2 linked regions of the Xenopus tropicalis genome follow. The protein of the gene in region 1 binds, or shares a complex with, the protein of each later gene. Links are inferred from orthologs where the notes say so. Each region holds a gene or a part of one and is shown in the gene's direction. Other genes may lie near its edges.

Region 1 (4,780 bases):
TCCTAACCCCAAAGACACAAACATACCTAGAGGTGCCTCACTTTCCCACAGTCAGGTATACAAGTTATACAACTAGGGACACATACACTGCAAGGCATACACATACCTAAGATACATAAATAATGTCTTACTTACACACCTCCACCCCCCCATTTATAACTACAGACCTCACCTGCTGCCACAGCCCACTCACATCATAGGTAGGTCTAGTTTCCCTACACACTGCTCTAGAGTCAAATACCCCCACAGACATAAACCTACCACAGCTCATGTAATCTCACCACACACTGTACCTCCCCCACTAGCACATCTAAATACTTATGCCACCCATATTACTAACACAATCTCCCCTCAATATTCTGGGTAAAAAAAAAAAGCACAACCGAAATTTTAAGCAAATGTAGGGACCCATAGGGTTAAATGCCCTATGGAGTGATATCCCTACCTCTTCACATAGATCCCTTGTTACTGGAAGCCTTTGTAACAGTTTATAGTTATGCCTATACTTTATTGGCCCATATGGTTGTCCACACTCCTTGCAGCCTCATATAATGTCTAGCAAGGAGGTGTGGCTGCCTGTCTGCTTCCCAACAACAGCTCCATTGAGCCTGGGTGCAGACATAGGCCCCAGTAAGCCATATTCTTTGAAGTAAAGTCGGGGACAGGGCCCCGTGAACGAGGTAAAGTTAGTCTCAGGACTAGACTCTGTCATAGCACACTCTAGGGGGCTGATTTACTAATCCACGAATTCGAATGGGAAAAATTCGGATTGGAAACGAACATTTTGCGACTTTTTCGTATATTTTGCCTTCCACTTAGCGAAGGCCACCCCTTTGAAATAGAGTCCCAATGTGCCCCATGCTCTAACCATAGCCTGGCATTTAAAGTGCTTTTTAGCCAAAAAGGGGTTACATACACAAAACCTCCCCCAAAATTATCTAACATGCCAAAAACATAAGCACACTCCAAAACTCTTCCCCATAGTTTAAAATTGTGCAACACGTCAACCCAGCTGGAAAAAAAAAATCAATAACCACCCTTCAAAAAAATGCACACCCCCAAAACTCATCAGCACCCTTACCCCAAAAAATACAAGCACTCCACATATAAGCAGGCTCCAACAACCCCCTAAAATTAAGGGCACACACCTTACATAGAATAGATCCACAGCCTCCACTGAACATCAAGTGTCCCAGTATTCAGGCAACTGAATAAACTCCTACATTTAATTCTGTCCCAAGAAAAAAATAATGCTACCCAGCGCAACCCAATACTCAATAGCGCACTGTGACACTACTTTTAATGAGCCATTCTCTCCATAGCATCCCCGAGTAACCACCTATAATCTATTTACACAGGCATTTGAAGAAGGCGCTGAATGTTACGTGTTGGAGACGTCGCCACGTCTTCACGTGTTTGTGACGTCACTCACGGCCACAGGAACTAGATATATAAATGGCTTTTGGAAACCGTTTAAGACCGAGTCGGGACTGAGGGCTGAGTTAAGAGAAGCGGACCTGTCCAGCTAAAAGCGGGACTATTGGGCGGTATGTGAGCGGGGCCGACCTTTAAAATTAGTTGATAGTATATCCTTTTTCTGAAAAGGAGAACGTTTAGACTAAAGCGTAAGATGGTACAACTCGTTACTTTAAGACCAAAAACCTCCAAATAAGTTGTCTTGAATATGCCTTTGGATCAGCACGAACGTACATGCAGTCGTCATTTAGAGGCATTAATGCTTAACAATTTTAATTGGCTAGTTGTTAAAATTTGACCTACACGAATGCATTAATCCATAGAAATGCATATTATGGGTCTCTACTGAACTGGTAACAATACTTTCAAATACGCATTATGACTATTTTTTTAATTTTTTTTTTTTAAGCTGTAGTGCAAGAGGAAGTTCTCTAAATGAAGATTGAAGGGGTTCTCCTTTCAAAAACTTGTTTTGCTTATAGAAAGGTAATGCAATTCTAATTAACTGTCCAATATACTTTATTTACAAACTTTCAGTAGTTTTAAAGTGATTTGTTAATGTAATATCTAAAAAGCTTTATTTGTCTTGCTTACATTCTCTGCACTCCTGGCTTTGATTTTGGAGCAATAATACAAGGCAGCTGGATAAAAATACCTAGAGGAGACCTGACCCTGTAACATTGTTTTAAGAGTAAAGGTGGCCATACACGCACCAATAATATCGTACGAAACCTCGTTTCGTACGATATTCGGTGCGTGTATGGTATGTCGGCGAGTCGACCGATATCGCAGGAAGCTGCTGATATCGGCCGACTCGCCGATCGGACCAGTTTGAAAATTTTGATTGGGCGCCATAGAAGGCGCCTGACCAAAATCTCCCTTCAGCGCTGAATCAGCAGAAGGAGCAGAAGGAGGTAGAAATCCTATTGTTTCTACCTCCTTACCGATGGTTGCACGAAACATCGTCAGATTGCCACGTGTATGGCCAGCTTAAGACCCAGACAATAGAAAGGGATAGAGAATTACTGCTTTTATTTGCAATTCCATGTACAGGTAATATAGTGTAAGGTGCATAGATAGGGAAGAAACTTTGTGATGTTACATGTCTCTGTGTATTGAAATTGAATAAATGGGCTTAAAGGAAAAAGAAAGTCAAAGTCACTTGGGGGTGCCAAAATGTTAGGCACCCCCAAGTGACTTTGACCACCTACATTTTACCCCGGGCTGGTGCCCCTGTGAGGAGGGAACAGCACCAGCCCGGGGTAGCTGCCGGCGCTTGCCTCTGCCTGATTCGCTGCGCGTGCATGCGCAGTAGAGTGAAAAGCCGAACTTAAACTTTAAAGTCGGCTTTTCACTCTACTGCGCATTCGCCCACCGCTGGCATTCCAGAAACGGAAGCCGGAATAAGGAAACGATCCGCTCCAGGTGCCCCGGGCTGGTGCTATTTTCTCCTAACAGGGGCACCAGCCCGGGGTACGAGGTAAGCGGTTAAAGTCACTTGGGGTGCCTAACATTTTGGCACCCCCAAGTGATTTTACCTTTCGTTTCCCTTTAAATGAGAAGGAAAGGCTAATAGTTAATTTCAAGCTGCAGGCATACCTTCAGTTTTCTCAATAGTGCCTTTAAGTCCCCCCATATTTCTCCTGTTCAGATGATCAGAAACCTCATAGGAAAAAAAAAATCTAAGCTTTGAAAAGAAAGTTCCCATAATTCCTCACTCCTGGACCGAGACCATTGTACATGCTCAGTTTGTAAGACGATGAGGAAGTTTCCTACTGATTGGCTCAGATCACACATTTCTAAGAGGGGGGGGGGGAAGTGAGTTCTTAGCATTCTTGAGGGAGGGGGAGAGAGCTGCATGTCTCTGGCACAGGAAAACAAAGACAACAAATCCTGTTTCTTTTGAGAGAACTCAGTGCAGTGTTTTTATAGACCTTTCCCTTTCTGATAAATACTTTCAGCTTAAAGGAGACATATTGGAAACATTGAAAAAACCCCAATTTTGTAGGCAATTATGAATAATATATGGTGCTGATTTCACTTTTGGCTAAATTGAACACTGTCAAAAATGGCCCCTTTATTGGAGCTCCCTATAGATCATCTCAGGTCTCTGTCAGGACATGCCCACCTTTCATTTGAAATGATGTGATGTGCAGTGTCATTTTTTCATCTGACCAAGCTTCAACATGTTTTTTCTTTAGCAGTGGTGTCTTGCGCGTTGAGCCTGCAAAGAGGCCATGTTGGTTGAGTGCATTACTTATTGTTTTTTTTAAACAACTGTACAAGGTGTTTCTGAAGCTCTCCATGAGTGATCCTTGGCTCTTGGACAATTTTTCTGATTATTCTTTTGATTACTCTGTCAGAAATATTGGGAGGAACACCTGGTCGTGCCCTTTTAATGTGAAATGATGTTCTTTCCTCTTCCGGGTTATGGCCCCAACTGTGCTCACTGGAACATTCAGAAGCTTAGAAATACATCTATAACTAATGCCATCAGTATGTATTGCAACAATAAGGTTGCAAAGGTCTTGAGAGAGCTCTTTGCTATTACCCATCATGAGATGCTTCTTGTGTGATACCTTGGTAATGAGAAACCATTTATTAGGACTAAGCCAGCTGAAATTATTTTGCACTGATAGGGGGCAGGATTGCTTTCAAAATACTGACAAATGTCAGCAGGTTTCTTTGCTTTCCATGCCTCTTCTTCATGTGTTCAATACTTATTCCCTGTGTCATTCCACTTTATTACACATAACTTAATTTAAAGACTTATTTGTTTTGATTTCTTTGTATGTGTGGATTTCTTGGGTTGTTACCAATATCTGGTGTAAATTTCATGTCAATAGCCCCTTTTGAAATATATTTACTGTGAAAAATGTTGATGTGTGCAATACTTCTTTTCCCTGCTGAATGTGCATCATGGGCTGTTCGATGGGGTTGGACTTGAGCAACTTTTTTTTTTTTTCCCTAACCCCTATTAACTATGAAACGTCCAATATATAGTAACACTGAGGGGCAGATTTATCATAGTGTGAAATTAGATCTCGTCACAGAAACACTCCATTTCATTCATGGGATTTTTAGAAGTGTATTTATCAATAGGTGAAAGATCTATTTGATAAATAATTTTGATTGATAAGCTTTTAAAACAAACCTTCCTTTCCTTGTTTTACTCACCAAAAAAAAAAAAAAGCCGCACAGGTATTAATTATAAAAGTGCCTCTCAGTAAATTCACTCTTTACTTATAATAATTCAATAGGCTTAACCCTTTAAGTGCCAGCCGAATTCGTCATTTCAGTTCCC
Region 2 (4,695 bases), on another chromosome or scaffold:
AAACATCTGGAAAACCCCAGGTCCCGAGCACTCTGGATAACAGGTCCCATACCTGTATATATTAATAATGGGGGAGTGCAGAGGACCTCTTGTTGTTGTTGTCTATATGAACTTTGCAGTCACAGCTTTATTGCACCTCTGCCTAATGGTTTAATCAGGGGTGCTCAATCTTTTTAAGCAGGGGGCCAGTTCACAGTCCCTCAGACTGTTGGGGGGCCAGACTATAGTTTGTCCCACACCCCTGGCTATAACTGGCCTGCCTCAGCGTGGTCCTTGGCTGCATCACGTTACCCTGTCACACCCGCCGATGCTAATGTGTCCAGCGAGGGCCACGCTGAGGCAGACAGGTAGTAGCCAGGGGTGAGGACACAGCAGGGGTAGGTAAATGCCCGTGGGGGGCCGTAGTTTGAGGACCCCCTGGTTTAAAATGTAATGGTCAGCACAACTTTCCCTTTTTTTGCACTAAAGCCAGAAAACATGTTAAATATCCTCAATTTGTAAATAAAGTTGCCATGGCTGCGTGGTTTCATCACTAGCACAGTGCCAGCGGCAGATAGTGCCCAAATATACAGTAGCTGGGCAAGTGGCCTTACTGACCCATTGCGGGACCCCCCAGCAATACAGCAGCTGATGCATAGAATGATTTGCTTGGGGCTATGGAACAAAGAGGAAGGATTACAGGCATTTATGGTACAGCATCCTTCATAATGAACTCCCTGCTGCTCTGATTGGTTAGTAAGGAGAACTGGACCAGCTAGAACGTTATTCTGTTAGGTTCTTGCTGTATATGTGATACAAGGGGGTTAGAGATCCCTTCTCGTGTGTTTCTAACTTTATTTTCCAACCTATACTAATTCCCTAATAACACCCGCACTGCTACAGAGTGAGCGACAATGGCTCTAGCACCCCCCTTTACTGATTGTTAAAGCCCCTGTCCCCTCCTCATTCACTGAATAGGTCACTCATTACCCATTGAATTGATGGAGGAGGAGGGTGAGGCAGACAGAAGGCAAAGCCATTGTATAACCCAACAACCTCATTATATGGGCGCACTAAAGCCAGAAAACAGGATACATTTTCACAATTGGGAGATAAAGTTGCCATGGGCAGATAGGGCCCATATATATATATATATATATATATATATATAAAATATGTGGCTGAACCATTGCAGGACACCCCCTCCCCCAAAAGACCATTAAGACATTACAGGTGGGTTGTAGTTGAACAACAGCGGCTTCCATAGAGTGGAACATGACAGTTCCATATTGAGAACTGACACCCCCTACACCCACAGGCCTCCATGCTCCTTCTACACAAGCCTTGCACCCACCCTCATACACACACAGCCCCAACTTCACGTCCGATGACGATCTAACCCGATCTAAATACCTGTTTATAAGACGGTGTCAATATCGGGCCTTTCCGTGGTTTTTGAATTTTCGCGCTTTCGGGCCCGCTTAAACCCACGTGACCACATCGACCAATCCACAGCGCGTCCCTAGCGCGTCACGCATCTCTCGACCAATCGCGCAATCAATCAACGAGTTCCTTTGGCAAAGAGCCAATCATAATGAGCGAGTTATAGAACGCTCGCCGTAGCCAATCGGTGTCGGGGAAAGAGAGAAGCCCTAACGTATCCCGGAAAGAAGGGGATATTACAGCGCTGGGCCGGAATGTTCGGGGGCTACCTGTCCGCTTATTAAGGGTTTGTAGCTGTCGGTGGGTTGTGGGTGCAGTTGTGGATAACAAATTGATTGGTGGGGAACATGCTGATTGGACCTGTTTGTTTTAAACGGAATCGGAGCCGTCATGTTGGGAGCGCCATCTGTGGGTAACTCATGGTATGACAGGAGGCAGAGACTAATGACTGTAGCACTCAGAGCTTGGCTAACGTACAGGTATGGGACCCCTTATCCGGAAACCCGGTATCTAGAAAGCTCCGAATAGACTCCATTTTAATCAAATAATTCAGAATTTTTAAACCTGATTTGTTTTTTCTCTGTTATAATAAAACAGTACCTGTACTTGATCCCTTGATCCCTGGCAGAACAGCCCTATTAGGTTTATTTAATGGTTAAACGATTCCCTTTTCTCTGTAATAATAAAACAGTACCTGTACTTGATCCCAACTAAGATATAATTACCCCTTATTGGGGGCAGAACAGCCCTATTGGGTTTATTTAATGGTTAAATGATTCCCTTTTCTCTGTAATAATAAAACAGTACCTGTACTTGATCCCAACTAAGATATAATTACCCCTTATTGGGGCAGAACAGCCCTATTGGGTTTATTTAATGGTTAAATGATTCCCTTTTCTCTGTAATAATAAAACCGTACCTGTACTTGATCCCATCTAAGATATAATTACCCCTTATTGGGGGCAGAACAGCCCTATTGGGTTTATTTAATGGTTAAATGATTCCCTTTTCTCTGTAATAATAAAACAGTACCTGTACTTGATCCCAACTAAGATATAATTACCCCTTATTGGGGGCAGAACAGCCCTATTGGGTTTATTTAATGGTTAAATGATTCCCTTTTCTCTGTAATAATAAAACAGTACCTGTACTTGATCCCAACTAAGATATAATTACCCCTTATTGGGGGCAGAACAGCCCTATTGGGTTTATTTCATGGTTAAATGATTCCCTTTTCTCTGTAATAATAAAACAGTACCTGTACTTGATCCCAACTAAGATATAATTACCCCTTATTGGGGGCAGAACAGCCCTATTGGGTTTATTTAATGGTTAAATGATTCCCTTTTCTCTGTAATAATAAAACAGTACCTGTACTTGATCCCAACTAAGATCCCTTATCCGGAATACCCTTGGTCCCGAGCATTCTGGATAATGGGTCCTATACCTGTACCAGCAGCAAGTATAAGGATTTAGAATCTAAAAATAAGGCAGTGGGATTTTACAGGCAAAGCCAAAAAGGTTTGATCTATTTTAGATCAAACCTTTTTGGCTTTGCCTGTAAAATCCCATTGGCTTATTTAATGGGAGGCTTATTTGCCCACTGCCTGTCAGTGTTCTGCACCTCATACTAATCCTGCTGTCCCTCTGTTTTTGTGCCTTAGGGCTGATTTTCCTGGATACAGCCATTTGTTTATTGCCCCTTAGCACCATGTGGCTGCTGGCGTTCCTGCCATTAACTGCCGATGCCTCGTAAGAAGCAGACCTCATACAACGCAAGCAAACCACGCCTGGTGTTCCTGGAAAGCCCAAAGCAGGGTCTGCGCCATGAGTATGGACTACCCCCTGACAAGGCGGCCCACCCTGTATGTGTGCCCACCAAACCTCTGGATCACAATGCATCCGCCTCTTGGGTAAGTGTTGGGTATTTTTTCATTGCTACATTAGTTTGCTTTGATTCAGGAGGGTGTTAAAGCTCTGGGCTACCCTGGGATCTAACACCCCCATTCATCAGAATGGCATTCAGCTGTTTACAGCAATCACAGTCTGACCAAGGGATACGTTGCTTTGCATTGATGAATGTTAAGGGGTTGTAAACCTTGCTGCACTGCTCAACCAAACTTTATTTAGTTGTTGCTGGACTATAAATCCCAGAATAATGTAATATATGATAGTTCAAGCATGCTGGGAGCTGTAGTCTAGCAACATCAGGATTGCATTTTTAAAGCAGTATTGCACAATAAAACTATTCCCCAAATCTCCACAGCCAGCAACTGCTTTATAATGCAAAACAATTCTCCAATGAGAATCCCTGATTCTGTAACAAGATATAGGCTTCTAAATGTCATCAGCAACAGGCCCACTGAACAGTTTGATGCCCATTGTGCCATCTTGGAGTCAGGAAGGAATCGTTTCCCCTCTGGGGCAAATTAGAGAGGCTTCAGATGGGGTTTTTGCCTTCCTCTGGATCAACTAGAAGTTAGGCAGGTTATATATAGGCATTATGGTTGAACGTGATGGACGTACGTCTTTTTTCAACCTAACTTACTATGTTACTATGTATATTGTGCATAGGTTTACATAAGTATAGGGCATGTAGGGGCCCCAAAATAAAAATGCCCCCCCATATGATCTGTCATTTTAGTTACTGCACAATCAACATATTTACTGCATTTTATGTGGGGTAAATCCTGCCTAGTGACAAGGAAGAAAAGGAAAGGTAGGGTTTAACATCATAGGGGCATATTAACCCTATGGGTCCCTACACATACAATGACAAATCACCCTAAATATGAATGGCCAATGGCCTACTGAACAGTTTGATGCCCAATATGCATAGATATACCAAAGTCTGCGGTATGTACTGACCCCAAAATGAAAATAGCGCATAAGGATTTCTCGTCTGCAACTCAGCTTTTGCACACAGAGCCCCCTGTCAGTGTATTATGTGCAGTAACCCCCCCCCTAACTATACACAGACCCCCAGAAAACCAGTGTCGAACTGGGGTACCTGGGGCCCATCAGAGAACCGCACCCTAGGGACAAACCAAACACAAAAGCTGTTGCTGCGACCACCACCCACCCCCCTACTATGTATGGAGTCCAGCTACACGTTACACATTTATCATCTGCAACATTTCACCAGCAGGTTTCAGTGAGGCCTTCAGTATTTTGGTACCATATATTAAAGGAGACATATCCTATAAAAATTATAAATGTACCAGGGAATTATGCTCCTCTAGATATAGACGGATTGTGCTAAAAAAAAGTTGT

What was found.
Region 2: the proteins of rad9a (region 1) and rhno1 are in contact, whole or in part, in a crystal structure (PDB 8WU8), measured with the Homo sapiens proteins. The link is inferred for Xenopus tropicalis from reciprocal best matches to the Homo sapiens genes RAD9A and RHNO1. Residues at the interface, in NP_004575.1 of Homo sapiens: Val41, Ser44, Arg45, Ser46, Ala47, Tyr48, Glu130, Leu132, Gln133, Ala134, Val135, Glu165, Tyr181, Glu183, Thr216, Phe217, Cys218, Gly244, Pro246, Val261, Leu262, Ala263, Thr264, Leu265, Ser266; in NP_001239428.1 of Homo sapiens: Thr88, Lys90, Phe91, Pro92, His93, Leu94, Thr95, Phe96, Glu97, Ser98.

The regions. Positions count from the first base shown.
Region 1 is NC_030683.2:57,498,248-57,503,027, forward strand, and holds the start of rad9a (cell cycle checkpoint control protein RAD9A), read left to right. Parts: upstream 1-1,506; 5' UTR 1,507-1,547; intron 1,548-1,885; 5' UTR 1,886-1,962; intron 1,963-4,780. UniProt on the Homo sapiens protein: Component of the 9-1-1 cell-cycle checkpoint response complex that plays a major role in DNA repair. The 9-1-1 complex is recruited to DNA lesion upon damage by the RAD17-replication factor C (RFC) clamp loader complex.
Region 2 is NC_030679.2:10,384,604-10,389,298, forward strand, and holds the start of rhno1 (RAD9, HUS1, RAD1-interacting nuclear orphan protein 1), read left to right. Parts: upstream 1-1,604; 5' UTR 1,605-1,708; exon of another isoform or gene 1,709-1,901; intron 1,902-3,086; exon of another isoform or gene 3,087-3,129; 5' UTR 3,130-3,167; coding exon 3,168-3,335; intron 3,336-4,695. UniProt on the Homo sapiens protein: Involved in microhomology-mediated end-joining (MMEJ) DNA repair by promoting recruitment of polymerase theta (POLQ) to DNA damage sites during mitosis.